4 linked regions of the Astyanax mexicanus genome follow. The protein of the gene in region 1 binds, or shares a complex with, the protein of each later gene. Links are inferred from orthologs where the notes say so. Each region holds a gene or a part of one and is shown on either strand. Other genes may lie near its edges. The genes, in order: transformation/transcription domain-associated protein, anp32e, kat2a and ing3.

Evidence for each region.
Region 2: transformation/transcription domain-associated protein (region 1) and anp32e share a complex: the UniProt entries of both Homo sapiens proteins name them as parts of the SWR1-like complex. The link is inferred for Astyanax mexicanus from reciprocal best matches to the Homo sapiens genes TRRAP and ANP32E.
Region 3: transformation/transcription domain-associated protein (region 1) and kat2a share a complex: the UniProt entries of both Homo sapiens proteins name them as parts of the TFTC-HAT complex. The link is inferred for Astyanax mexicanus from reciprocal best matches to the Homo sapiens genes TRRAP and KAT2A.
Region 4: transformation/transcription domain-associated protein (region 1) and ing3 share a complex: the UniProt entries of both Homo sapiens proteins name them as parts of the SWR1-like complex. The link is inferred for Astyanax mexicanus from reciprocal best matches to the Homo sapiens genes TRRAP and ING3.

The regions. Positions count from the first base shown.
Region 1 is NC_064422.1:24,991,495-24,999,270, forward strand, and holds the start of transformation/transcription domain-associated protein, read right to left. Parts: upstream 3,314-7,776; 5' UTR 3,232-3,313; intron 2,359-3,231; exon of another isoform or gene 2,219-2,358; intron 1-2,218. UniProt on the Homo sapiens protein: Adapter protein, which is found in various multiprotein chromatin complexes with histone acetyltransferase activity (HAT), which gives a specific tag for epigenetic transcription activation.
Region 2 is NC_064410.1:49,864,322-49,871,879, forward strand, and holds the start of anp32e (acidic leucine-rich nuclear phosphoprotein 32 family member E), read left to right. Parts: upstream 1-4,497; 5' UTR 4,498-4,620; coding exon 4,621-4,674; intron 4,675-7,558. UniProt on the Homo sapiens protein: Histone chaperone that specifically mediates the genome-wide removal of histone H2A.Z/H2AZ1 from the nucleosome: removes H2A.Z/H2AZ1 from its normal sites of deposition, especially from enhancer and insulator regions.
Region 3 is NC_064426.1:26,198,291-26,205,850, reverse strand, and holds the start of kat2a (histone acetyltransferase KAT2A), read left to right. Parts: upstream 1-4,270; 5' UTR 4,271-4,413; coding exon 4,414-4,638; intron 4,639-6,121; coding exon 6,122-6,245; intron 6,246-6,556; coding exon 6,557-6,702; intron 6,703-7,560. Other genes in the region: rab5c (ras-related protein Rab-5C), read left to right, coding at 527-654. UniProt on the Homo sapiens protein: Protein lysine acyltransferase that can act as a acetyltransferase, glutaryltransferase, succinyltransferase or malonyltransferase, depending on the context.
Region 4 is NC_064409.1:8,056,600-8,064,549, forward strand, and holds the start of ing3 (inhibitor of growth protein 3), read left to right. Parts: upstream 1-4,885; 5' UTR 4,886-4,977; coding exon 4,978-5,005; intron 5,006-5,147; coding exon 5,148-5,219; intron 5,220-6,611; coding exon 6,612-6,712; intron 6,713-6,992; coding exon 6,993-7,058; intron 7,059-7,264; coding exon 7,265-7,361; intron 7,362-7,521; coding exon 7,522-7,593; intron 7,594-7,950. UniProt on the Homo sapiens protein: Component of the NuA4 histone acetyltransferase (HAT) complex which is involved in transcriptional activation of select genes principally by acetylation of nucleosomal histones H4 and H2A.

The sequences.
Region 1 (7,776 bases):
CAGTGTTATAAGGGTGAGTTTTCAGTGAAGTTTTTCCAGCACTAAGGCTGGGTGCAGCATCATTAGCATTAGCATTACTTGAACACTCAGAATTCCTCAGTCTACCGCTATCGGGCACCATTTACATCCAACTAGCGCTGTGGTTAGAGGCTAATGATAATGGTGATGGTCCCAGCCTTCACACCAAAAAATCGATGTAGGCATCCTTACTATTGTTGCTTTATGCACCTTATAATCCGGTGTGCCTTCTAGTCTGAAAAATACGATATCTCCTTGGGGCTTGCCTCCATCCCCCATTATATGGAACTTGGCCTTCAGTTTGGAGATGGTACTGAGGCTTACTCCAAATAATGTTGCAACTTGTTTTTTTCAGAACACCAGCCTAAAGTTGCCTTATCCAGACCAGTCAAATGTGGCATGACACCTACTGACCAGTGTAGCGGGGACCATTTTCACAGGTGCTGCACCTGGAGGTACCAGAAGCTAAAAAGTGTCAATAGCAACAGCAGAGTAAACTGTTTGGCTATGGCAGAGAATATTTGGCTAATTTTATATGGGTACAACCCACATATTCAACTCTGCTGCACACAAGATGTTTTGTGGTGGATTAGAGCTGGAGTCCTTAACACCACTGGCAGAGAGGAGTACCCAGTCCTATCCACAGACAGACTTCGAAAGTCTTTTGTTGCTCAGGCCATAAGACTGTCCAATAAAGTAATAGATACTTCAATAAAGTATCTATCTATATATCTCTTTACATATCTAATCCCACAAATGCATGTTCCTTACAAATGTGGCTTACTTTAAAAGGGAAATGAACAGGCTTTACAACAATATTAGATTTCTCACCAAGAAACACTGTTACAACAGAGAAATTATCTACCAAACAAATATCCTTACCTTTAGTGCTGTGTTTATAAGGTATAAATCATGGAGTAATAGTGTAGGCAGAGCACATGGTATGTTTGTTGTCTCAGTAAATTAAAAATAAAACGTGCAGACTTAAGTGAACAGCACTAACTTACAAACCCTTTACACAAACGTTCTTCGTATTGTAGTTAATGTTATAATTGTTCATTAGTTATAAGTTATAAGTGTTCATTAGAAAGGTCTGTAGGTCTAGGGAGCTTACAAGATAGAAACTTACCACTACAGCCAAAACCATCAAACAACAATGTATACAGCTCTGGAAAAAAAAATACGAGACCACTTATAAATGATAAATGATGAGTTTCTATGATTTTACCAAATTAAACCTCTGGAATATAATCAAGAGGTAGCTGGATGACAAAAAATCATAAAACCAAGCTGAAATGCTTGAATTTTTGCACCAGGAGTGGCATAAACTTATCCAAAAGCAGTGTGTAAAACTGGTGAAGGAGAAAATGCCTGAACATGCATGAAAACTGTGATTAAAAAACAGGGTTGTTACACTAAAAATTGATAATATCTAACGATTAAAACGTTATGAATATGAACATGTTTTCTTTGCATTATTTGAGGTCTGAAAGCTCTGCATCCTTTTTGTTATTTCAGCCACTTCTCATTTTCTGCAAACCAATTCTCTCCAAGACAATATTTAATTTGGAATTTGGGAGAAATGTTGTTTGTAGTTAATAGAATAAAACAACAATGTTAATTTTACTCAAACATATACCTATAAATAGCTAAATCAGAGAAACTGATTGAAAAACTGGTCTCATATTTTTTTTCCAGAGCTGTATATCAAGATAATAAAATACAGTTTTACTATAAATTAAGATCTTACATTCAGCAAAAACATATTATAATATTCCATATGACAGAATTATGGGATGTGAACTGTGGGTTAAACATTCTGTGGGGTAAACAACTGCAGTACGCCTAGCTTATGCATCAATAGGTTTCCCTGCACCTTCAGCTAGCTGACTATAATAATATTTAAGCTGTGTGCTGAAAAGTAAACACAAATATTTAGCTTAAAAAACTTTAAACGATTAAATTACACACACAGATATGTATAACCAGTGTAGCTTCTATATGCAGCCAAAAATAAGGTTATATGCGGCGAACTATCAGCATAAAGAAGGCGTTGTCGAAAACAGCACGGTAGGACCCTAAGCTAGCTATGCTATGCTAGCTAGCTAACTACACACTGCAGAGCACTGGAGCTTATAATAATAATAAACACAGGATAATTTAGCTAATACAGCAAATTCACCTCTTTTCACAAACTTACACACAACCGCCACTGAAGACGCCGGCTGGATATCCGTCTGCGCACTTACAGCAACTTTATCTGCAGTTTTCCAGCGCAGCCGGCGCGCCAAATCGCAGACAGTGCTATGCTAAGCTAGGCTAGGCTAAGCTAAGCTAACGTTACTACAGATGCACGCCTACTGCAGTCCGACGCGCGCAGATGACATCACTGCGGTTAAAGCCAGGCTAAGCTAAGCTAGAGATTAGTGCAGTGAAACAAAAGCCAGGATATCTTATATTTAATACACGAACTTATAACAGAACTCAATAGAATATATATTAGAGTTTACAGACTTTCACACCCCCATCATTCCAACCTTTATATCTCAGTTTTGAATCCGCAATCCCTTAGTAAACACACTCTAAACGCGTACCAGCCTGCTGCACAGACAGCCGGGTGTTCTGTCGAGTTACGCTACCCATCGATACGTGCTTCCTAAATGCACTGCGCATGCGCTGACCGACTATTTAATTTTTTTGTTGTTGTTGTCGTTGATAATAAATCTGTTATTTGTGTATTAAATAGCTCGGACTGACTCATTGCACAAAGTATAAATGTAAATGTTTAATAATAATAATAATAATAATAATAATAATAATAATAATAACAAATACAATTATTATTATTAAAAATGTAAATACAAAATCAAAATGTAATTAATAACCTCCCATTGCCGTATCTTTACCATGATACAGTGATTCATGCTATCCAAATATACTAGCTACATCTACTGGGACTTCCACTCCTTTTGTATTTTTACAGGTAAATACGCTAGGGTAGCACGATTTGACAAAGTAGCACAACTCGACAGAACACCGTTACTACAGTCATGTCCTTCCCACCAACACAACTAGCAGTATTTAACCTCCACCAGTATCCCAAAGCCAGCGCACATCTCGGCTTCAGCCACTCACACACACCTGCGTATCATATAAACACAAAATCCCCCCAAATAAAGCGAATAAAACGCAATACGCGCATTAAAGACTTACAGCAGATGGAAAAAGAGGGAAGGAGTTCTAGCTCTGCTTCAGCTCGCACCGACTCAAACCCGGCGGAGGGATCTAAGCAACACCGCGCCAAGCTATGATAATCTGTTTACTAATTATAATCATATATTTCTTGCATTTAAAAACAACAAGCATGATATGTGATATAGCTATGTTAACTTCTTACTAATAAACACATTATGTAGGATCTAATTGTGCGCTCTTCTATTGTTTTGTCGTTTTTTACAGTACAGCGGTATAGTCCTGCGCGGAAGGACACTGCAAATTTGGTAGTAGTCAGAAGACCATCGAAAACGAAGGTCTTTCTTTTCTTTCGTTTTCCCATGTATTAAGAGCTTACAAATTATGTTTTTAAGCTATTTTAATGTTTCCATTTCATCCCTATTTTGATTTCTAAAAATGCAAAACCTGACTTTTAACACTTAGACCGCTATTCCTTTAAAAAGGTAACTAAACATTTTGCAGTATAAAGAGAATTTTAATTTACGCACGCAATTAATTCTGTTTTAAATACTGGACTCTACTTATTCATTTTTTTTAAATACACCACACAGCTATAATGAGCAGCTTCTATCATATTTGTTATATTATGCTTCTTTATATGGGGCTTTATATAGTAGTCAACATTCTGCATTTAGGCTGGCTGGTTGGGGTTGTAAGTACAATAAACGGCCATTTGAGGTCGCTGCGTTGTTGGGCGTCAATGTGAAGAAATTATAGGGGGAATGGCAAAATGACAAATATAAATAAATAAATGCACAAATAAATAAATTAATACCTTTATGTATTTATTTATAAATGAATAAAAAAATAAATGCAGAAAGCTGCTTTGTGAGCACATCAGTTATAAAATGTGCTATACAAATAAATTTGATTTGATGATTTGATGTAAAACGCCTCTGGATATGAACTAGTGATGGGTGATTTTCACAATTAATTCGGTTAATTCGAATTACAGTTTTATTGCGGTTTTACATACTGTGACGGGCGGGGGGAGCAGTGGGTCCGTCCCACGCCATGACGCGCAGTCCCTGCCGGTCCCAGCTGATCTGAATCAGGACTGATTGAGCAGCAGCTGGAACTCCGGCATAAAGACTCGGATTCAGTCCCCACTCTGAGAGGTGCTACAGGTGAGAGGAAGGCTGCGGCAGGATAGACCCTTAAAAGACTGGCAATCACAAGTTCAGCGAGTAGAGCCCCTCTGGGCCAGTGTAGTTATGTTTTGAGTTGTTTTGGGTGTTAGTGGAGGGCATTTGTAGTGATGGGCAGATGAAGCCTCATTGGGTGTATGGCACATTTCCCAAACTGTATCGACACTGTGTTGAAACTGTGTTGCTGTATCACTTAATGGCGACATCTGCTGGACTAAGAAAGTCATTGCAAGCAACTGCGCGAAGAAATGCATCGGTCACGTGGTTTTCCTTAAAATGATACGCGGTCTGACACAGGGGTTCGCCTTGTTTGCTCGGTGCATGCGCTGAAGTTTCAGTGTCGTCAGACCCATCGCTACCAAACGATACAGGAAGTGTATCGGTCACGTGGTTTTCCTTAACTTGATACGCGCACCGACACGGGGTTTCGCCTTGACAGCTCGGCGCATGTGTCGAGGTTTCAGGGTCGTCAGACCCATCACTAGGCATTTGAACCTAAATAAAGGTACGTTTTGAGTTCATTCACTCCCTGTGTCCGTGTATCTGTGGGTTTTCTGACTGCCCTGTCACGGTGGCCACGCCCCTATCCCTAGGGATGCCGTCACAATACAGGCACTTTATCTGTTTACTCTAAAGTTTCTAAAGTGTTTATCCTTCTTAATTTGGCTACCACTGCCTCCCACAGACTAATGCCGGTCTTACACCTAACTATTTTTAAACGTTTTCACAGTCGCAGACAAATTTCCAAAGTCGGGAAAAAATCTGGAGAGTCTGGCTAGAGAAAAGTTGCGGTCGAGTTGCGGTGGCGTCATCTCTATCCTAAGGTGGTTGGAAGTTTAATCAGTCGGGTTCGCCTGATTAATCAACCGTGTTTAATATTATCGCAAGTCTTGGGACTTGGCTCACGCAAATAGTGACGTGAACAATGTCAACGACCAATAGAAGAGCTATGGGGAAAGGCAAGAATATATTTCACGTGACTGTTTTGAAACTATTTACATATACAGTATTTTAAACACAGGCAGCACTTTAAAGTCATTATTTTTAAAGTTTTTATTTTGCACTACTTTGTCTTATTGTGCAGTTTTTTTTAAATACAAAAGTTTAATGTTTTTCAAGAATTAACTTCTTTAATTGCATTAGTTGTATCTAAGGCAAATGTATAGCAGTGAAACTGTGTAATTCATTGCTATACAAGGTTGTAGCAAAAAGGGGATAATCAAGTTTATAGACAGAGTTGAACACAATGTATTCTATTAAATATCAAGAACTAACAGTGAGGAAGAAAAAATAAACTGTTGATGGGCACAAAAGTTGTGAGTCTCTGATGAATGTGTGTTCAATCACTCGCAGGTGCTAAACCGTGATTAATGGTGGAGAGAAATAAAATGTCTCATTCAAAGTGTCTTCTATAGTTGTTCAGTGTATTTTTCAATTTTCAGTCACACACCCTCCTTCGTGTGTGATAAGCTGTGTACTCAAGGTCAGCGTGTGATATGACTGCGTGAGCTTAAACTGCTTTAAATAATTGATTTACTCAATGAGTAGACTCACCCTAAAGCTTCTAAACACATAAAATATATATATATATATTTTTTTTCTGTTTCACATGAAGATATGACACTTTAATACAATGTAAAGTAGTCAGTGTACAGCAAGTAACACTGTATATTTGCTGTGCTCACAAAATAACTCAAAACACAGCCATTAATATCTAAACTGCTGCCAACCAAAGTGAGTATATACAAGTGAAAAGGGCCAAATTGTGCCCAAAGTGTCTATTTTGTGTGGCCACCATTATTTTCCAGCACTGCCTTAACTCCCTTGGGCAGGGAATTCATCAGAGCTGCGCAGGCTGCTACTGCAATCCTTTTCCACTGGGTTCTATTAATGTACCACCTAAATTTGTGTTAGTCTCTGTCTGTAGAAAAGTTCAACATTCAGTTATATCGCACTCCAGAAGATGTATACATGAACAACACAAGAAACTAATATTATTGATGAATAATCATCATTTAATAAGTTATGGGAAGGAAGAATATGCCAATGATATGATTTTCCTCTGCACAAGCCTACATCTCTGCTTAATGATGGCGGACAAGCCATTTGCCACCTTTGCCATCTGTCTGAGCACAATCACAGTAACCCTGCTGGAGCACAATAAATGATCCAGATGGTGAAAAGGTTGCATTATCATTTCAATGGCCTCACTGTTCAGCTGTGGAAACATTAAAGCAGAGATGACATCCTGTCCCTCCAGCGAATGAAACTTCAAATACTTTAGTATGACAGATTCATATCCAGCAGCGGGAGTGCAGATGAAATGTGGGCGGTTTGAGGCTACTTGCGGTCTCTTGTTGACCACTGGCCCTCATCTTTGACTCCTTGTTTAGCAGAGTAAAACGAGAATGCCACCGGAAATTGGATTTGTGCCTCAACGACCGCTTGGAAATGAAAATGCTGATGTATTTTTCAGAAAAAACAGGCTCTATGACCCACATCTTGGGTTTTAGATACACTATGCGCAAATGTGTGCATTCTAATGAATGCATTATTCAGCTACTTATTTAAAGCTACACCAATTGAGTACAAATTCACACACTTTCTCTAATTTCTGTAGAATAGTATTGGCAATGGAATAGAAATCTCTGGAAAAGATAAACATGAACCTATTACCATAAATCCTAATGCCAGGTGTGCGCTGAAAAGGTAGCAAATGATGTGGGGTTGCTGCACTTGGTCAGGTCTACGTTCAGTAACAGTATGTGCTGAACAAATGAGGTCAGCTGACTACCTGAATATAGCATTATAGAGCATTATTTTTTGCATGAACCATTTAATACCCTTGACTTCAGAAGAAGCAATTCAACATTTAGTCAAGACATGAGAAAAAAAAAAGAGACAATCATTAATAGTGAATATTTTTATTTAAAGAAATGAAAAATGTAGGATTGTATGCATTTTATGAGGCAGGTAAAAATAACACTGGCATCTCCAATCATGCTGCAATATAAACACAATTAGTACATTTCAGCACAAACTAGATAAATACCCGGGAACCACCAAAAAAAGAATGAGAGTGCATTTCCCCAAGAAAATGTATGTATAAATTGCAGCTCAATGGCAGTTGTGTCTGTGTTGCTTGCTAGGGTGTTGCCAGTTTGTTACTAGGTTAACGTTTGCTAAGAAGTTCCTGTTTAGCTCTTAATATACATGAAGCATAGAACTACCCTATTAGTTCTGTAACTGTGCCAGATTTGGTGTTTATAGCTCAAAATATGTGACCTGTAGAGAAGTTAAGCACTTGTTGTGCAATAGTAGTGGCAATTACAAAACAAAAACTCTGACTGAGACTAAAAAGAACAAAGATTTTAAA
Region 2 (7,558 bases), on another chromosome or scaffold:
ATACGCACTATACAGCCAATGAACTGTTATAATAACAATATGTCCAAATGTTTGTGGACACCCATTCTAATAAATGGATTTGACTTCTTTCGCAAACTGCACAGATGAGCTGACACAGATGAGCAAATGCACAGACATAGCTTATATAGCTCCTTACTGACGGTTCACTTGCTGCAAAATATATCCCAGCATTACATGTGATACTGTAATATGTCTGTTGTTTTATAATATTCTGGCTTATTAGTGGATATGCTTTACTTATTGTTCTAAACAACTGACATATTGAATTTACATGAATTATGTACATCAAATTGTTGAACGTGAATGTATGTAAGGTCACTAGTTTGGCAAGAACTGTGTTTATGGTTCATTATGTAACCCTTTCTAAACACCCTATAACCACCCTATAAATTCTTGTCACATTTAAGTTATATAAATTCAAATTCACTATAAATTATATGTCTAAATGTTTGTGGACACCCATAGCAGCATATTATTATGTTGCACCTATTGCCAAAAAAAAAAAAAGATGAGCAAATCCGAACACGCACACACAGCTTGTCTAGGCCCTGTAATGCAATATTCCAATAGAATAGGACTATCTGGGGCAGGTAAACATAAAGCTATTGGCACCCTGCCTAATGGTCAGTGTGGGCTAGATGCCCCCCTGTACTAAGCTGTGGAACAGTGGATAATTGTGTTGTCTTAAATGATGGAGCTACATCCAATATTTTAAGATTATTTAAAAGAGTTAGGGATAAAATGAGTTGGTGGTCATACAACATCCTAATCTTACTAATATTCAAGTAGTTTTATTTTCATTACTGCACATGAGCAGGGCATACAGAGGATTGAAATTATGTTACAACAAGTACAGCAAGATGAAAATATAAATATATTTTTATATTTTGCTGGTTAAAAAGTTAACTATATTAACTTGTCATTTTGTTTGTGTTGGACACTCCTGAGATGGTTTTATAATGCAGCCTTTAACCACACGTATGCACAAGTTAGCGCACGCAGACATAGCAGGGGGTACCTGTTATGTATACATCATAAATACATGAATACAGCATTTATTCATGCTGTTGAATACAATCAAATCCTAAAACCAATACTCCATAATCTAATAGAAAGCATTTTCTTGTACAGCATTCAGTATTGTGGCATAATCTTTTCCGTCTGATAAATTGTGTTATTGATCACATAGAACACAAATATCAGTCCCAAGGCAATTCCATATCATTGCTGGTGAAGCGGGGGTAGTGGTTAGAGCAGTAGGTTATGGATGATAGGGTTGTGGGTCAGATCTCCGGGCTCAGCAAGCTGCCACTTTGGGCAGTAGTAATGGGTACCCCATGCTATGTCCATGTGCACTCACTAGTGTGTATGTGTGTTTTTTGTCCAACACGAACGAATGACAAGTTAATATGGTTGTTTTTTTTGAAGAAGCATTTACATGCACAACATTCTGAATTTGCTTTTGAACATGTTATTGTTCAGTTGAAGTTATTGTGTTACTATGAATTTGTACTGAGTCACCCAATTAATGCTCCACAGTTTCCATCCTCTGTCTGCTGAAGTATTTCCTGTTTCCTGTCTGTGGAGTGCCTTCAGCCCTCGCTCCCACCTTTCACCCGAAGGCCCTTAGAGAAGCCTCTCAATGAGATATCCGTCTGTTTACAAATACACTACAGGCAAAGCACAGGACACAAATACTCTATACAATACATAGCTACACAAAACTTCTGGCATAGCTTATTGCACTGTACTGTACTATACTTTCCGGTAGTGTTACAAAAATAACACTTTTTTTTTTTTTTACTTTTTTCAGCCAAAACTATGATGTACATAGTCTTGTGAAATTTATTTTTTCCTTTTCCGTGTTGTTCTGTAATAGCTAATGCTGGAAATACATATTTATTTACCTGTTTTAGTTGTAGAGCTGTGATACGGCTGCAAATGTGTCAGCTGAAGGAAGGCAGCATAGTACTGGCTTCACTGCATTGGTGATAACATACCAGGTGTTTCATGGGAATGGGTTGTAATGCATTGCACTGAGGTCCTCTAGTCAAGGAAAACACAAAGGTGACTGTGCCTTTGCAGCATGCTCTCCAAATTATTGGAATATCCTGCCCTTATACTAGACTTTCTTAGTCTAACTCTAAGTAGTTGTTTAGGAAGACATTTTTATTGGTATTATTATGAATTTCTTTTTTCACACATTTTCTATGGATCTTTTGTTCTAAAGCATTTATATTCTCATTTTGCAAGACTGTAAAACTGTTACATTTTCTGACTTTATTTTTTCAAATGTATGTACAATTGGTAAAGACTTGGCCTATAAATAAGTTGGAATTGAGACAAATAGAAAGCAAATGGAGTTTGGTTTAACCATTAGTAGACAGACTGCAAGGTAAAGAAGATTATTTGCTTCCTTTCACAATGAGGCATAAATCAGCTTAGGAAATCTGTCATGGTATCCATTCAACGCCAGGGTCAACGAGGTGCATCCTCTAGCGGTCACCTTGGATATTACAGCACTGGGCATATTTACCAGCAACATGCCATGATCATTTTGTATTCAGACTCATTTGAAGGGGGAAGTACAAGTTTGGATGCTGACAGTGAGAATGTTTTTTTGGAATAAGGCATATTTAGGAAACCCAAATGCACTTCAGAGTGACTGTATTGTGACTGAGGTGTGACTCATAGTTTTCATTCATGAACACTCCACTCACTCTTATTTTCCATTGAAGAATGAAGTGCACCGCTCTTTAAAAAGAGGCTGGGGAGCGCTCTGCGGCCGAGCATGCTTCCTGACATGCTGAAAGGCTGAGCGTAAGGACTTTGGCCGGTTTGAGCTGTGTAGTTAAGCGGTCAGCAGCACATTACATGGGACAGATGGCATGATGGCTTGCGGCCTCTAAGCCCCCATGGCTGCCATGGTTTATGGTCAGCCATTTTATTTAATAGTTAAGCGGGGGTGGGGGGTGGGTAGTAGAGCCTAAGAGTTGGTTGGGAAGCATTACTGGGAAGACTGCTGAAGTTGGTCTTTTTAGCCTGTTTTTTTTTTTTTTGTACTTTCACAGACATTCTTATTCATTTTAAATTGTATTTTATGACTTAATTTTCAGTCACAGCAGCAAAGCAGTGAAAAGAGAATAGAAGTATCCATAAAAACAATAGAAAATAGAAAAATTAAAAATAAGTCGACAAGCATTTTAATATAATATTGAAGCACAGAGTTGTAATACAAAATATCATATGTATTACAAGTATTGCATGTTAATATTTTTTAAGTTGGATTTTTAGTAGTTAACGTGTTGTATATAGTGATATACAGTGTGTGTGTGTGGTCTACATGGAGCTTTTTTTTAAAGCTGTAAAAAGTTCCCCACAGCACTCTTTCCTTCAAGTTCCTAAGTGACTGAACATCGCACAGTGTTATTCACAGAGTAAACTAACCCAGACTGCTGGGTTAGTGCTGGAGATAAAAGTTGCTGTTCCAACCAGAGAAACCGTTTAAATGCTCAAATAAAATGTATTGTGATCCATATAACTAGTTTTGACCTGACATCTAGAAGATTTTTTTTTTCTTAAAAATAAGTTTATTGAATAAACTTAAACTTAAAATAAGTTATGAAATTGTTGTTGATGTCATTTACATGACATCAGGGTTTTAACCTTAAAATACAATTTTAATTGCATTCTTATTTGGTATTAATATTCAGAAGTTGGTCTGGGTTTTTATGGGTTAATCTAAATCAACTTTCATATACACCAACTTCTAATCAATATATATATTTTTTATATTTTTTAGTGGCGTAAACATGTTTTTGTTCATCTGAGTTTATTAACAGAATGTAGGAGTGCTGAGTGAGCTTCTCCTTTTAAAAGTGTATTTTCTTCTATTTCCACAGCTCTGTCCCATCCACTTAAACAATTCTGTGTTTTCATTAAAAGTTTTATATTCTATAAAACTAGTTCTGACAGAAATTCTAAAACAAAAAGTTAAAATAAAAGTCATGAAGTTGTTGTTGTCATTAGTGGTACAACAGGATTTAAAAATTGTGTTAATTTTTTTATTTGGGATTAATATTCAGAAATGGGTCTCAGGTATTATGGGTTAATCTAAATTAACTATTATTAATACTAGCTATTAATATCAATATATGAACGTATGTTTATTAGTGGAGTAAATATATATAGATGTATATATATAAGGCTCTGGGCAGCGCTGTAAGGCGCCAATGAGAACAAAGAATGGGCGGATTCCTAGTTTGAAAGCTTCGTACTGACATTTACATCAACCCATCTTATTTTACTGCGCGCGCAATTCCAGCCAATCCCGTGCGCCGGCAAAGACCGATTATGTTGATCAGGGTGATCCGCTTGAGTGGCATGCGCGTCCACCAATCAGGCGCTGAAAAACAACAGCGGGCCAATGGCGGCGCGGCGGAGGCGGGGCTTGGGAAAGGGGGTTGGGTGCGAGGTATCATGGAGGATCAGTTAGAGAACGGTAGACGTTGAAGAAAGCCGAGCTGTGGGTGCGCGCTCTGGAGTTTCTTACACTTTATTTCCTAAACGATCTTGTCCGGTAGAGTATCTTCTGAAACGATGGAGATGAAGAAGAGGATCAGTTTAGAGCTGAGGAACAGAACTCCCGCGGAGGTAAGCCAGCCAGCGAACACATCGGACTTTTAATTATTTATTTTTGGCGAGAAATGGGAAAGGATGTTCGCTCGCAACCTGTCTTACCCTGCAGACTCGAGCACTGAGCTGCTGCTGCTGCTGCTGCTGGACTGCAGTTAGTTAGGGTAGCGAGCTGAGAGACCACTTGGGCGCTTCAAGAAGGATGCGAGGGAGAGGGATTGATTAGACTAGACTAGCAAATATAGAGAAATAGAGAGTTTAATAAACGAGACTTCTAGCCGAATAGCTACAACGTGTTTGGAGTAGCTAGGTTAGCGGACTACCCATCCCCACTAATGTAATCTAGCGTTAGCTAGCTTAGTTTAACCAACGTTACGTTAATTTACGAACTGTAACGAACTAGAGAGACCAACAAAAACAAACTCCGTGGAGTCTTTTATGAGTGAATCGTAACCTAGTTAACGCTAGCTAACTAAACATAACCCTACAGCACTTCTCCACCTCTTCCACTACTACTACTACAGTCTGTCCCCTTCGCCATTCACCATTGCTTTACATTGTGGTCGTGGTCCGTGTGTAGCTCCGTGTTTTTGGTTAGTTAAACTACCTAAGAAACTTTTAGCTAAATGTTGGTTAATAGTTAGTTAAAATGGTGATACGTATTGTTTGCATACTAAATACAAATGTTCATCGTGAACATTTCTTCGCTTTATTTCTTAGCAAACCTAACGTTAGGTCGCCTACTTCAAGTAACGTTACACTAACTATAACTTACACTGTGCTGAGAGATAAGGCACTAGCCTAGTGTAGTGTAATTGGGTAGCTATCCGCTTGGGGTTTTAACCGTCGTTTCAGCTATCCTGTTTAATTACTAACCTAGGTTATAGCGTATAGCTCCGTATGGGTTTAACTAACTAGTTTATAAGTTACGTTAGTTAACGTTAGCTAGCTAGCTATAACGTCTGTTCCTGCACTATTTTAACGTTACTTTCAACGATTAATCTTCTACTGCTCGCAACGACGCGGATGCAGACTTTAGTAGTTATGATGGCTTCTCAAACCTAGCAAACTCCAGGTTAGCTAGCTTTTTGTAGCTGGATTTAACGTAAGTTAACATAGCTATCTAGTAAGCAAGAGAATTTATTTTATTTAGTAGTCGAGTCTTCTATTTTATTGAGCTAAAATGCTAACAGCTAGTTAGCTAACCAATAACAACACAGCTAAACGTTTAACGTTATATCTCGCAAAACTAGGAGGACCGTCATATTTTGGCATCGTCAGGTCAAAACGTAACTAAGTTAACTATTGTTCCCTAGATTTTAATCACTAGCCCTACACTGCCTTCCAAGTGAGAGTGTGTGTGGACAGCACTCAAAGCAGCACAGCGTGTCTTGCTTTTCAGATATAACAGCTACAGCCATTACAGTGAGCAGTTTCGTCTCCCGAGGCGGACATCTTAACGCCGCTCCCCAACTCGACGACAATTCGACATTGTAGTTATAAGCCAAGATTTCCAAGCTGTTAACTAACTTAAATAGATGGTTCGTTAGTTATTCCTCGAGAAAGCCCCTTTAGTTATAAAGCTAGCTAGTTATATAGTTAGTTAACTTAGCTATGCGCAGGCGGATCGCCATTTTAGCTTAACAGTCTGTTTCAGACCACACAGCTGTTCTTGCGGATTGTGTCGGCGGTATTAATCGACAAAGCGCGGTCTACAGCTCGTTTGAGAGGGGTGTGTGTGTATGTATGTGTGTGTGTTGAGAGGGAGGGAGCTGAGATAGGGGAGAGAGAGAGCGGACGGGGAGTGTCGCTGCGCTGACTAGGACTCATTTTGTTTGTTGCGTCGGTTGTTTAACGAATATAATCGTTCCTCCGCGTGTTTAAAGTCGTTTTTAGCGCTTCAGTAAACTAAAAGACTATCAAAACAACTCGGTTACAGTCGTGTGTTGTCGCTACCTCCGGTGCTTTACGCAGCTCAGCCGAGCTGCTGCTGTTTCTGTTATGGAGTCCCGAAAAGAACACGGTGCCATTTTCCTCCCTGCTCACATAACCATGGCGCGGTTATGTAACTAGCACGCTTCAGATAGATGTATAACTACATAACGCGGCCTGTTAGACAAGATACTTTTTTTAACTGATATTTTTCATTAGACGCTCCGCGGAGTCTGCTATAACCTAGGTTAGTTAGATTAGGTTAGCTACTTGAAGGATCGTGGCAGATGGTGAGGGTGCGCAAGCCCCCCACCCCCACGCCTAATGTAACCCAGCTAGCCCAGTAGATTATAACTGTGGCCTGGCTCAGACTGCTGCCATCTCCCACAGCCCTGCCTGCCATGAATAGAGACGTTGGCCACATAACCTAAACTAGCTACTACTTCTTTTTCTTTATTTATTATTCAGGTAGACAGCAAACCTAGCCACTACATTAGTTACGCATCCCAACATTGTGAACACACTTAAACAACGAGGTGATATAGGAAAAAAAACATAGTAATGCGAAATATATGCTAGATGACAAGACTCGCAATACATTAAGAGTGGCAGAGCTTCTTTAGTACAATAATACAACATAATTTATAAAATTATCATACATTTTTAGTTTTATTATTATTTAGTTTACCACAGTTAGTTCCAACCCTGCAATGTGGAGGGCTGAAAGGCGTTTTATGAGTGCCATTATCTGCCAGTAATGCACTGTAACCGAAGCTCCATGTATTACTCCGCCACATACAGGTAACCTAGCAACAATGCAGCGCTTACTAGCCAAACAGCACAGCTACAAACAAAGCAGCAATGGAACTATTTTAACTCGCAGAGTGTTTATAACCAAACAGATCTTATTTTCTCATCCTCTTCAATAAACACAAATAAAGGAACTGTGGTATAATCACAATAATACACT
Region 3 (7,560 bases), on another chromosome or scaffold:
TCTTAATTTGTGAAATACAGCATAAAAATTGTCCATTTTAAAATTGGAGTTTAATTCTGTAAAATGGAGGAAATATTAAATAAAAGTGACCTTAAGTGGAGGCAACAGCCAATACAAAAAAGTCTCTGTGGGAAATTAAAAAGGAATAAAATCAAAAAGCTGATATTTAATTTATTATTTAGAAACCTGCATTATCATACTTGCAATCGTGTTAAATTGGACATTAATTCTAGTAATTAACAAAAATATTTAATATTTGGCATAAAAATATAGGAGGATAAAGGATATCAGGATATTCCATCAGGACATTTTTTTTTCTTTGGTCAATTATTTTCTTATTTTTTCTATTATTTGCAATATTTTTGCATACAATAAAATATGCCACACCCCTAGTTCTGAACCTTTTTGTTAATTATAGAACTCATACAAAAGCCCTAATTATTTCTGCAATATAGACAGGCACAGGACTTCATGTATCTGTTTACTCACTTTTAACGCTTTTTTGTCTTCGTTTGTTTCTTTGTAGCTAAAAAGCTTCCGAAGAACGAGCCGCAGGGTGGAGCAGGACCTGGAGGACGAGCCAGAGGCGGAGTAGACTTGCAGGAGGCGGCACCTCAGGGCAGATCCGGCCAGTGCTGTGGAGGCGGAAACTAAGAAACCCAACCAATCGACGACTGTCAAATGTGGCGAGGATCAACACAAGACACACGATCGACAAAGTACCAACTCATAGTCCGACAGTTCTGTCTATTCGCAGTCAGTTAAACTGTGAAGTACATCAGCAGCCCAACAGATTCAACTTAATGAACTGACAGAAAGGGGCCATTGATATTCACAACCACTTGTAAATATTTCGACCAATTCTACCCCCGACCAATAGGCCGGCTCCTCTGTAACACCTGTGTTCAAGAATCAGTTGACTGGCTTTGCTGTGTATACCATAAAATCACACAAGCCCCGCCCCCTCCCTTATCGAAACAATGGAAAAACATGAAAAAAATAAAGACAACATGCGTTTGGGGAACAAGGAGGGAAAACAACGATCAATTCTATCGCACTTAAGCAGAGCTGTAATGTTCTGTTCTGTTCTAGTCTGTGTTCATGATAGAAAATCAGACTGCTGCTGGAGGGAAAACACACTTCTTCCACTTCTTTCATTCTCTCTGGTCTGTTTTCTGAGTTCAGCCTGATCCTCACCACCTGAACTCAGATGCTCTCTCTCCTTCTCCTTCTCTCTTTGTCTCTCTCTCTCTCTTTCTCTCTGGATAGAAGTCACCATACCCAACAAGTATTGATTATTCTGCTTTTCTGATTTCTTGGCACTTTTTCTTAAGTGGAAGAGTAGAGAACACGATAGAGAGAGAAACTAGGTTGAGAGGCTGTTTTCCCTTCACTCTCAGCAGCTTCTGTAGATTCTGTATTATTCTTGGTTATTACTATTGTTGTTATTATTGTAATTATTATTATGACTACCACTACTCCAGAGCTAATGAATAATGATTTATGATTTCATAGGTTAGCCCACCCCCACCCCTCCAAATAATTTACGTATATCAGACTGTATATGCATAACGCATTAACGGACATCCTTAACACCAGTGTCTATTTTTAGCATTAATGAAATGAGAGCGAACATTCCCGAACAGTCAACAAACGTGGCGTTAACGCACGACGAGATTTGCCTCCTCTGACCAAAATCAGTTTGTGTATTGAAAAACGTAACTGTTTGCTGTATTTGTACTCTGTATTTTTTCTTCTTTTTCCATTTTGTCTGCGAAAAGTATACCGAATCATTAGCCATTATCAATACAGTACCTTCCCACAACGGATCAATCGTCTACTCGTCTTTTCTTTCTGCCTGAAGATTTTTTTTTCTTTCTTTTTTTTCCTTCTTCTGTGAAATGATTTTTGTAATGAAGGTCCCTCTGAGTGCACTGGCTGTTTCTTGTCCTCTGTGAACCATCATTTTCTGCCCTTTTTTTTGTTTTGTTTGTTTTCTTTTTTTCTTCTTTTTGGACCAGCATTTTCTCCATTGCTTGTGAATTAGCACAACGAATGAGAGCGACTGCCCAGACACAGTTTAACAGGGTTCGGACAACTGTTTTGTGGATGGGGGACAGAAAAACAACAAATAATATCTTGTACTTGTAATTTTACCAATAAACAAGGGGAAGGTATCTTGCTCTGGGTTAGTGTGTTTATTGTTGCTCCTTTTTTTATTTCTTTTCTATTATTATGTTTATGTATCGTTATAGTTGTTTAAAAACAGCCTATTTTTGCAGTGTGTTTTTCTGTCTTTGACGTAATGTGAATCATCCAGAATGTTTTTTATATATATATATATATATATATATATATATATATATATATATATATATATATATATATATATATATTGTGTACAAATTTTATGATGCGTGAAATAATAGACATACTTCAGAATAGAGCTTGGGCAATATATTGATATTTTATGATATTGAGGATATCCTCAAATTGTTAAAGGACACTGACACAACTGTACATTTAATTACAGAAAGAGTAAAAATAAATGTTTAATTGAATGCTGTGCAGCAAAAAGAAAAATCCCACTGCATTTTGCTTTAAACATTGTTTTAAAAAGCAGAATAGCTGCATTTGCCACTGCTGATGCATTTTATCTTTGTATTAAAGCATAATTAATACATGTAGACTGAAATTAATTAATACATTTTCAGCCCTACTCCAGAATGATCAGGAATACAATCAGGAACACAGGAATCGTGTATAGCACTGTGAGAGTGTAGATGTTGGTTTGTTGGCAGTTAGGGCTGTCAAGTATAAAGAAATAGAGAAAATATCATTGACTTTTAGTTTATTATAATTTAGCAACTCTAAATGTAGTTTAGCTGATGCCTCTTTAACCAGGGATAATATCCAGATGAGACCTTGTCTTCTTGCATATCACTGTCACGCAAAAACTTTGTATGTGTACTTGAGAATGGCACAGTCTGTACTGACAATTTTCAGCTATGTTTTCTGTCCTAGTTTGATTCTGAGTATTTTTAAAGAAAAGCACAAAAGACAGAATGCTACTGAGTCATTGATTCATGAACAGTCTGAAACGCTACACTGCCTTCCAGTGGAGGAGCTCTGTGCAGCAGTGAGATCTGCAGTAGGTGTGGATTTACTGCAGTGTTTTTCCTCTCAATCATCACCATGAGTGAACCAAACCCACCCTCTAAAGCAGGAATTCCCAATCCCAGACCTAATTCCAGAGCACTAAAGTAGAAAAATCTATTTACTAATTCTAATACTAAATATTCTTCGAGTATGAATTATGTACTGTAAATAAAAGTGTCAAAGCACAATGTACTTAATGGTTGGTTGGTTTTTGACAAACTGTGGTTGCAATGAACATTATCTCACAATGCTATGCGAACTGGACAGAAAGGAGCTACCCATGCCTGCGACCCAAAGCCTAAGCTTTATCCTAGATAGATTGCTTTTCTCCATTCCCCTCTGTTCTATTTATTCTTAAATGCACAATTTGTTGCTGAGTGGCCACTATACTAGTGCATCTCAAAAATGTTAAATAAGAGTATTATATTTAAAACCAATTGGTATTTGTGTCAGTGTGCCAAGTCCTGCTGGAAAATGAAATCTGCATCTCCTTAAAAGTTGTCAGCAGAGGGAAACATGAAGTGCTGTAAGATTTTGCAGCCTATCCTTTGAAACACAGGGGAAAATGTTGAATATTGATACCATAAATGTTGCCATAAAGGCAAATGTAATACTTGTTAGCATAAAGATGAATGTTAGCATAGCATAACTTTCAGTTAGTACAAATGGGTTATTATTACATGAATATTTTATGTGTTATCCTGCCAAACCAACACTATTAAGATTAGTATGTAGTAGTAGTGCATGGTACGCAACTGGAACACAGTCTTGCTATTTGAGTTTCAGGGGGAGCAGAAAGTGTTGAAGGCCTTGCTCAGGGGCAGCTAGCTAGCTAAATAACAGTGGCAGCTAAATATCACTAAATATTCTTGATTTTTTACCTGTATATTTTGTGGCTCTCTGTAAAAGTCTCTTATTTTAATACATGTATGGTGTATTGTATCAGCTCACCTTTTATACAGTTTACTTATTGTAATTTTGTATCTTAAAAGTGTTGTTATGGTCTATATATATGGTTTACAACAGATTAAAAGAGCGAAGCCGATAGCTGGCTAGTAGTTTATGTAGTTAACTACATTACCCAGAAACCCATGCAACTGCGCATGCGCAATGTAAAGGCTGTGTCTCATGGACACAGGCGGCAGCGAGGCCTGACAAAACGTAAATAAATAAACAGAATTTGCTGTTCCAGAGCGCTTTAAGCTACCAGAACTGAACACAGCGATTCTCCGGACCGGGGCGCACCGTGCTGGTATGGCGGAACCGGCGGCACAAGCCTCCACGCAAGCCCGGCTTCAGCAGGGCCCGAGCGGGGGCTCTGCGAGCTCCGGCCCGAACACAGGCTCCGGCTCCGGGAGCAGCGACCCGGCGCGGCCCGGCCTGAGCCAGCAGCAGTGGGCGAGCCAGAAAAAAGCCCAGGTCCGCGCCTTTCCTCGGGCTAAGAAGCTGGAGAAACTCGGCGTGTTCTCGGCTTGCAAGGTATCCAGCTAAGATAGTTAACTAGCTAGCGTTACTGTAGCAAGAGCTAGGTTAACAGTGGACCTGCCGGTTTAGTGTGTGGTAGATGGGAACCTCATAATCTAACCACAACAACGTCTAGCTTAGGTCTGAAACTGACCAGCCTGCACAGAAAGTCTTACAGCAATGGCTCTGAGCTCTGCAATACAGAAACTAGTGCATCTCAAATAATTGGATTACTTTATTTCGGTAATTCAGTTCAAAATGTGGAACTCTTATATTACTATAGATATATTACACACAGAGTGGTCTATTTTAAGTGTTTATTTCTTTTATTGTTGTTGATTATGGCTTACAGGCAATAAAAAACGAAAAATCAGAATCAGAAAATTTGAACATTATAAAAAGACCAATTGCTCCTGCTGAAAAATGAAATCCACATCTTTATGAAAGTGCTGCAAGATTTTCCGTAAATACACTGCACTGACTTTGGTTTTAATAGAACACAGTGGACCAACACCAGCAGATAACATGTCTCTCCAAACCATCACTGACCATCAGTAAATTGTGAATATCATTTGTAAATCAAGGGACCAGAATCTGCAGGAGGAGTGGAGAGGCACACAGTCCCAAGCTGCTTGAGGTCTAGTATGAAGTTTTCACAATCAGTGATGGTTTGGAGAGACATGTCATCTGCTGCTGGTCCTCCACTGTGTTTTATCAAGTCCAAACTCTTACAGCAGCACTTCGTGCTTCCCTCTGTTGAATACTTTTATGGAGATTACATGGGGATTTAATTTTCCAACAGGACAACAGGTACACTGCCAAAAGTACCAATTGGTCTTGTAGATTATTCTGATTTTCTGAGCCACTGATTTTTGTGTTTACGTTGGATGTAAGCCATAATCACAAACAATAAAAATAAGTAAACGCTTAAAATAGATCATTGTGTGTAATACATCTATATAACATATGATTTTTACATTTTGAACTGAATTATTGAAATAAAGTAACCTTATAACGATGTTGACCTAGTCTATGCACTAGTATATACTGAGTGGTCTGTCTAATAACAGTGTTTAAAGTAGTGATGTAGTGAAACATGATAATGAGTAAAGACTTTTCATGTGATCTAATTTTACCTTCCACAATATAAATCACATCAGTACCAGTACAGTACAGTACCAGCTCAAAAGCCTTAAAAGAGTTCCTGGAGTTGCTGAACAATAGTTGCTGCTTTTTCCTTTACTTTGTCAAGCTCCAGCTCATCCCAAATCACCATCTCAGTTGGGTTTATGTCAGGACAAACACTGTTCTGTTTACTCCATAATTCCCTTAATTGCATAATTAATCTACAATCCACATTGTAAAAAAATACATTCAATAAAAAATAAAGAAAAACACTGAATGTGTGTCCAAACCTTTGACTGGTACTGTATATCTTTTTCAGACATAATATATTTACGATTAATTAAGTATCATTGTTACCACTGTTTTGAAACAGGCAAATGATTCCTGTAAGTGTAATGGCTGGAAGAACCCTCATCCTCCCACGGCCACCCGGATGGAGCTTCAGCAGCAGACGGCCAACCTGAGCGAGGCGTGCCGGAGCTGTGGCCACGCCCTGGGTATGCACTACTGTATAACCCTCACTTTTGAGGACTTAAACAGTTTGATGCATTTGTGTTTGATCCAGGAGGCACATATGAAATGTGGCTTCATCCTTTGACCCATTCATGCAGTCAACACACGCACATACTAGTGAACAAACACACTCAGTTTCACACATACAGTGAGTACAAGCTCAGTAAAGGTTGAAGGCTTACTCGAGTGCCTAACAGTGGTAGCCCGGTATATCGGTATTCTAACTGCTTACCCACCACTGCCCAGATTAAAAACGTAATCTTACATCTGTTTGTTTGTGTGTCTGTGTGTGCAGCGGAGCATGTATCCCATCTGGAAAACGTGTCGGAGGAAGAAATAAACAGGTTACTGGGGATGGTGGTGGACGTAGAGAATCTGTTCATGTCTGTACATAAAGAGGAGGACACAGACACCAAGCAGGTTTACTTCTACCTGTTTAAGGTAAATACAGAATGATGTTTCATTATATTCACTATAAGGACAGAAGTTTTGGTAAAACTGCACAGTGCACTCACAGGAGCTTTTACAGCATCCTCTTCTAAATCCATAGGCATTAACATTGAACTTCAGTGTAGCTTGCCATCGGCTACCGGAGCCCTGAGAGATCACAATTGTCCTTGATCTCTCTGGGTGGGTAGATGGCGCTCTCTCCCCACATCACTCCAAAGGGTGATGTCGATCAGCACACAAGGCATCTGTGAGCTAATGTATCAGAACCGAGTCGCTGCGCTTTCCTCAAAGTGCGCTGTGATGCTACTTGGCAATGCTGCATCAGCAGCAGTTCAAAAAGAGGCGGTGACTGACTTCACATGTTTCAGAGGAGGCTTGTGATAGTCTTCACCCTTCTGGTGTGTTGGGGCATCACTAGTGATAGGGGAGTCCTAATGAGTAGGTTGGGTAATTGGCCGTGTAAATTGGGAGAAAATGGGATAAAAATGATAAAATATAAACATTAAACTTCCGGTGTCAATAGGTCTGAATAATATACCTGAATTTGATGATTATGAGGTGTTTCAGTACTTTAGTCCATATAGTGTTGGACACATTCACCCTTGCACATCTTACAACATCTTGCACAATTTAGAAAACTGTATACAGGTAATAATGTTATAATGATCACAGTCATTTTCTCTTGTAATCTATTATTAATTATATTTCATTTTAAAATCTTTTTCTTAATTTTCTGTTTTTACGGTTTAATGTGATACTGATATTTTTATTTTACTTACTTTTAACTTTTAATATTTTTAGGTTTTGTTTTGTTATTCTAGTAAATATCATAGGAATAATAATTGTACT
Region 4 (7,950 bases), on another chromosome or scaffold:
TGAGTGAATGAAGTGAGGGAACATATAAAGAAGCAGAGAGAAATAGAGAGAGAAACTAGTATAAAAAAGTAAGTAAGAGAAAGTCAGCAAGTGTGCAAGCAAGAAATGGCGATGCAAAGACAGAAAGAGAGTAAACAATTGATAAAGGGGGTGAGACAATTATAGAAAACATAGAGAAACAGAAAGAGAGAGAGACAGAGCAACTGGGAAAGTGAGTGAATGAATTAAAGGAACATACAGAGAAGCAGAGATAAATAGAGAGAGCAACTACTATGAAAAAAGTAAGTAGAAGAAAGTGAGTGAGTGAGTGAGTAAGGAATAGTAATGCAAAGACAGAAAGAGAGTAAACAATTGGTAAAGGGGGTGAGACAATTATAGTAAACATAGAGTTACAGCATTAAAGAGAGACAGAACAACTGGGGAAGTGAGTGAGTGGGCAAGCAAGAAATAGACAGGCAGAGGTAAAGAGAGAGACAGAGAGCAACTATACAGTAAATCAACAATGTTAGTGTTAAATTTTGTTAATTACAGTTTTATTTGAACAATATCATTTAAGGAAAAGTGAGTGAAGGAATAGATGAGTGAAAAAGCAACAAATAAAGACAGAGAGAGCAAAATAGAGAGAGAGAGAACAACTGTGAAATTAAGTGACCATTAGTAAGTAAAGAGACAAGCATGAAATAGAGAATAAGAGATAAACAGAGAAAAAGAGAGAGTTAAAGAGGAGGGAGAGGAAGAGAGAGTTAGTGAGTGAGTGAGCAAACAAGAAATATAGATGCAAAGACCGAAAGAGAGCAAACAACTGGTAAAGTGAGTGAGACAGTTAAAGTGAGCATAGAGAAACAAAAAAAATAGAGAGACCGAACAACTAGTAAAGTGTGGGAGAGAGAGAAAAAAAGAAATAGCAACTACTCAGTAAATTTCAGACAAAGTTAAAATGACTAGAATAAGTGTGCATGTGAGAAAGAGAAAAACAACAAAAGTGAGTGAAAGAAAGAGTGATTAGGTGAGCAAGAAATAGAGAGGGAGAGAGAGAACAACTAGAAACATGAGTTAAAGGAGTAAATGAGAAAAAGTGAGATAAAGTTAGAATGAGAAAGAGAGAGAACAACTGGAAGACTGAGTGAGAGAATAGTTGAGTTAACGAACAAGGAATACAGACTCAGAGAGTGAGAGAGCAAGAGAAAAAGAGAGAGAACAGCTGGTAAAATGAGTGAGACAGTTAGAGTGGATGAGTGAGCATTGAGAAACAGAATGAGAGAGAGACAGAACAACTGTGAGAGTTGAGCAAGAAATAAAAAAATAGAAAGTAAGAGAGACAGCATCTACTAACAGGAGACAGGAGGGTGAGAGAACATTATACTTGGTGAGAGGATGAGTCGGTAGTGAGAGAAGTGAAAAAAGAGTGCTTGAGAAAGAGAGGAGTAAGCAAGATAGCGTGAAAATTGAAAGAGCAGAAAAATAGAGTAAAGAAATGAGAGTGTGAAAATATAGTGAGTAAAAAAGCAAAAGAATGAGTGAGTGAGCGAGAGATAATGTGAGTGGGTAAGTGACAGTGAGTAAGTGAGTGAGAAACAGAGGAGGAAGTGTAATAGAGGAATGCAGAGGGTCAGGAGGTCAAATATGTGTATTACTGTCTGCAGGGATGAGCTGAATGTGCCCCTGGGGTGAGGGAGTGAAACAGTCACTGCTGGCCTTCTTTACTAATCTAAATGTGGCATTTCCATATAAATAATCTTGTTTCTACACCCATTATCCTGCTATGGGTGTAGAAACAATGTATGCTATTTTTTCTCAGCTTTACTGAGCATAAAGAAACACACTGTAGTTCTACAATTACAGTATTTAATCATTCTATTTCTCTGCATACTTTATTATCCTCCTTTCACCCTGTTATTCAATGCTCAGGACCCCAGAGGATCACCACATAGCAGATATGGAGTTTTTGTATATATAAAGCTCTGGAAAAAAAGGCCACTTCAAAATTATGAATTTCTTTGATTTTACCAAATTAAAAACCTCTGGAATATAATCAAGAGGATCAAGAGATGGATGATCACAACCATCCAACCAAGCTGAACTGCTTAAATTCTTGCTCCAGGAGTGGCATTAAGTTATTCAAAAGCATCATGTAAGACTGGTGGTGGAGAACATGATAAAACTGTGATTAAAAACCAGGATCATTCCACCAAATATTGATTTCTTAACTCTTAAAACTTTATGAATATGAAAGATTGTTTTCTTTGCATTATATGAGGTCTGAAAGCTCTTTTTTGATATTTCAGCCATTTCTCATTTTCTGCAAATAAATGCTCTAAATGACCATTTTTGGGGGGAAAGTTGGGAGAAATGTTGTCCGTGGTTTATAGAATAATATAATAAAGTAAAGTCTTTATTTTATTAGATTAAATTCTATATTTGTTGTGTAATTATTATCTTACCATCTTCCTATATCCATTATTATACCTTAAATCTTGGTACACCACTACACTGCAGATTGGGCTTTAGTTGCTGGTGATTCTGCTGCACAAACAGTCCAGCTATAAATACACACAGAACCTCATCAGAGAATCCATGTTCTTTCTCATGAGCCATCAGGGAGTATTTCACACAGCCCAAAGTCACGACGGTCCAGTGAGAGACAGGGGTAGTGCTGGTGCGCTTGTGGCTTAAATATCTAACATTTTTCTAGCATTTCAGATTTCCTCAGAGGTCTGCTTATGACATCTCTAAGTATGTACTGATTTATATATATTATATATATATATATATATATATATATATATATATATATATATATATATATATATATATATATATATATATATATATATACTATCTCACAGAAATATGAATATCTTTGAAAAGGTACTTTATTTTAGTAATTCAGTTTTAAAATGTGAAACTCATATATTATACAGATGTATTACACACAGAGCAATCTATTTTAAGCATTTTTTTCTGTTATTGTTGATGGTTTATTGTCATGGCTTGCAGCCAATGAAAAAACAAAAATCTGTGTCTCAGAAAATTTGAATATTGAATAAGACTAATTAGTCTTCGTCTTAGTCATCTGCTGGTGTTGGTCCACTGTGCTTCCCTCTGCTGACAACTTTTATTAAGATGCTGATTTCATTTTCCAGTAGGACATGGCACAGTGCCCACACTGCTAAAAGTACCAAATGGTCTTTAAGATTTTATAATTTTCATCAACGATAAAAAATATGTGTAAAAATGATAATCTCATGCTCCCTGAACCACTCTTTCACAATTCCAGCTCCATGAATCCTGGCATTTTCGTCTTGGAATATTCACGTGCCATCAGCTAAGAAAATATCCATTGATGGAATAACCTGGTCTATATTCAGTATATTCAGGTAGTCAGCTGATCTCATTCTTTCAGCACATACTGTTGCTGAACCTAAACCTGACAAACGGCAGCAACCTTAGATCATTTGCTTAGTTAAATCCAGCTGGGGACCTTTTTTTGGCCAGGCAGTGTACCTTTCCTAAGGTTGATGATTGGGGGTGAATTTGGGATGTGGGGGTCACAACATATTTTGAACCTAAAAAGGGGTCGCACAGTAAAAAAGGTTAACACTCTGCTTTATATCATAATTTATTCTGGTCTGGTGCTACAAATACATTTATTTAAGTTACAAATGAAAGCAATTTGAGGCAAGTTGTATATATTGAATTACCAACTGTAAACCAATGTGCCTGTAAATGAAAAGTCATTCACTGCTGCCCTCTTCAGGCTGATCGTGGAAACTAACCCCTCCTTTCCATACCTGAACTCTTTCTTTACTCGGCCTTGAGATTTCTAAGGAGAGTCTGTTTAGCCTTTGTGTTATTCCCTCATATTGATCCACGACAGCGGTTTGACAGTATAAAATGTATTATTATTCTGAATAGAAGAAATACGTATTATGCTCCATACTGCAACAGTGAATACTGAAAACTAAATATGAAAAATCTGTATCATGTTCTATACTGAACCTTTTTTTACTCTGTAATACATTGAGGGTAACCCTCATTTTCAATGCAGCTGAGCATTTACGACCTAAAGTGACTGAAAAAAATACATTTAAATTACAATTAAAATCAGGTAAATCCGAAGAGCTTAAACAAGGACCTTCATAAACAAAACAATCAAAATTAAAAGGTAAAAACATTCAAAAAACAGCAAATAATAAAATATTTAGTTAAGAAGAAATAAAATAATTCAGATTAAAAGGATAAGTGGACAGGCTAAAATGTAAAGCAATAAAATAAAGAGATAAATCATTTAAATAATAAAATATTTAAAAAAAATAATATTAAATAAAACGATAAAATAAATGAAATAAAAAGCTACAAGGCCAAAAGTTAAATCCCAGCTTGCCACCAACGTCCATAGACGTTAATTTTAGGGTAAAAGTTGGTCATGAGGTCAGATTCAGAGGTCAGAAATATTACGTCAGGATAACGTCTAATACCGTTATGTGCCTGCAGGGAGGAAATCAATAAATAAAAGGACGAAATGGATAAAATAAATAAAATGGCAAAAAGCTAAAACAGAAAATGTAACACAAAAAACACAAAATAAATAAAGCAATAAATAAAACCAAAGAGTCAAGAATCGTTCACTTCACAGTTTGTGTTGTTCATCCACTAATCCTAAATTATAGCCCACATAAAGCTTTACACGGGACATAAAGACATACAAGGTGGTCATAATGTTATGCTTGTTTTGTATACAGTCCATTAACACGCTGTGCGCGTTCCTTTAATAAAAACTACAAATACCATGAGCATTTTCAGTGAAGGCGGGTGCTGCGTAAGTAAGTCACCGACCAATCCCTGTGCACGTCTACGCCGCCAGGCCCCGCCCCTCCGAAATCGCCTTTTTTTTCTTCGGCGTTCAGCGAGGCGAGGCGCCATATTGAAGAGTTCTCCGTTTTCTGCAAAACCTCGAAAAATACCCCGTTAGCCACCATGCTGTACCTGGAGGACTACCTGGAGAGTGAGTATAGGTGTTTCTGTGTTCGCTCGCTGTGGTGGCGGTGTGTTCGTGTGCTGGGGGAGGCCCGTGTCGCGGGGAAACGGCCGCGCGGTCGTTAGCCGCTAGGCTAGCTCCTAACTCCGCTTTTTCTTCTCTCCGGCAGTGATCGAGCAGCTACCCATGGATCTCCGCGACAGGTTTACGGAAATGCGAGAGATGGACCTGCAGGTTCAGAGTAAGGCACTGCATTCAGCGGTTCTCTCTCAGAGTCTGACCGCTGAGACTTCAGCCCTGCAACCACTGCACTTTACTGACCCATAAAAACACTGAAACACATTACAACTCTATTATTTCACTTTTTAAACGGGTTTTCTTCAATTTCTCAAATTATGTAGATTTTCATTTCTGCTCTTCACATGATTAATTGCAGGAGGAAATTTTGTTTTTTTTTTCATTCTCTTAACAAAATTATCAAGCTAAATTTGAAAATAGAAAATTGGGTTTAAAACTTAATTATTATTATTATTTCCATTCAGTATAGCGAAGACGAAATGGGATTCATCCAAATTATTATAATTCGTCCAAAATATAATAATTAATTATCTAGTTTTTCATTTAAGCTATTCACAGACAGAATTTCATGAAAAATGAAATTCTTTCGATTTTTAAATTTGTCAATTTTTGCATCTTGTAACACAAATCGGATGGTAAAATGCAAAAATGAAAAAAATTAGGGGAAAAAAATGAAATTTGGAAAAGTCGATGAAAAACTATATTTAAAAAAATAAATAATGAGTTTTACGTCAAATTTTCGATTTTTGCATTTAACCTAAAACGGTCATAAAAATTAAATAAATAAACATTACACTGACCATTATATCATCAGATTTTTGTTACAAGATGCAGAAATGGAAAAATTAAAAAATCAAGAGAAGATTAACTACATATTTTTTACAATTTCCCTGAAACTATTTGTGATAAATGTCAGAAACTGAAAAAAATGTATGAAATCCTTTATCAGCATTTTTCTGGTAATGGGATCAAGGGAAACATTTCAGATGATGTTTTACCACCACTTTTCTATTTCCCAATTTAGTCGTAACTTTATGTTCTAAAGTTTGACCAAAATTTGAATGTGTTTTATAATAAAGTAGTTAATTATAGATGCTGAGTGCATGGAGCAGAGAAGAAAGAACCATGAGAGCTCTAGTAACTGAAAAATTGTAAAACTTAAAAAAAAAACAAAAAAAAAACTTAAGATTCTGTGTGAAGTAATAATAATTTATGTAACATAAAAATAATGTAATATATCAACACAAAAACTATTATACATAAATATCTTCACAGAAGAAAATAAGCATCACATTAAATAGCGAAACAAATGACACTCAAACAAATAAATGTGTATAACACTGATATGACGTGTTTGTTATTCTCACATAAAAATATTGCCCTCTAAAAACAAAAGTTCTCAAATTTTAGGAAAACCACTGGAACACTCCTGTTTTATTTTTTATTTTTTATTTTTATCCAGTTGCAGGCTTGACACATAGCTGTCCACTGTTAGTACACATATCTCTTAGTTGGTCATCCACTTGCAAATAATGACCCTCTTCCTGCTTTTCAGATGCGATGGACCAGCTGGAACAGAGAGTTAATGAGTTCTTTGCCAACGCTAAAAAGAACAAACCAGAATGGAGGGAAGAGCAGATGGAGGTTATTAAGAAGGTACAGAACAAAAGATGCAATTCTCTGTGGAATCCGTGGTTGGAGCATCTGCTAAAAATAACTAATTGGTTAAAGTTGTTAAATTCTGAATCAGCCCTTAATCAGCCCTCTAAACACATCTAATTGTGATGTTTACTATTCACAGTTTTGTTTTTCCACACTTAATGAACTGTATTATTAAATTATTTTTGGCTGTTTTGCTTAGCCTGTAATAAAGTATTAATTTTGATTGCAGAAGCTGTAATTAATGCATATCTTCTCCTCTGTCTCTTTTATTCAGGATTACTATAAGGCTTTGGAAGATGCAGATGAAAAAGTTCAGCTAGCCAATCAAATCTATGATCTGGTGAGTATGGATGATTGTACCGCAGTACACTTTATGTCCACTTTATGTCCACTAGAGGCAGTCACTCATTGTGAATGTACTCTTATGTGTGGAATGAATTGGAAAGATGTTTTTGTATATGCTGTGAAAGCTTGTTATTCTGATGTCTGATGATAAACAATTCTTCATAGTTCAGTTAAGGATTGTATGATTTTGTGTGCGCTCAGGTGGATCGACACTTGAGGAAGTTGGATCAGGAGTTGGCCAAATTTAAAATGGAATTGGAGGCTGATAATGCAGGAATCACTGAGATCCTGGAGAGACGTAAGTGTAGTCTGTCTGCCAAGCTAGTTATCATATGTGAGGACATCAGCTGGGAAATGTGGATCTCTTAATTATGCAGTGCTATGTGCATAAGAATGCTTGTTTAATTTATTAGTTGTTTAAGCAGCCTTTCTTAACTTACCTTTCTTCTTTTCTGTAGGGTCGTTGGAAATGGACAGCCCTTCTCAACCTGTCAATAACCACCATGTCCACTCTCACACCACAGCAGAAAGTAAGACAGTCCTCTATCTGTGTTCACTGTATGACTGCACAGTTTATTAGCCGTGTCTAAACATGCTAAATAAAGAGTTCGTACGGTCGTGAAAACCTGGAAAAGTCAAGAAATTTGAAAATAGCAATTTCCAGACCTGGATAAGTTTTAGAAAAATAAAAACACCCAGAAAGTTTAGAAAAAGTCATGGAAGTTTGGTCTACAAATCTTTGTGTTTCAGTTTATCGATTGAGAGAATTTATTCTAAGTTAACAAATACGTCAGATCAGAGTTAATTCAGTAATTTAGCCCTAAACAATGGAGCTCTCAGGATCTGACACACATTTTATTATTAAAGATTGTGTCTCACATTTTACC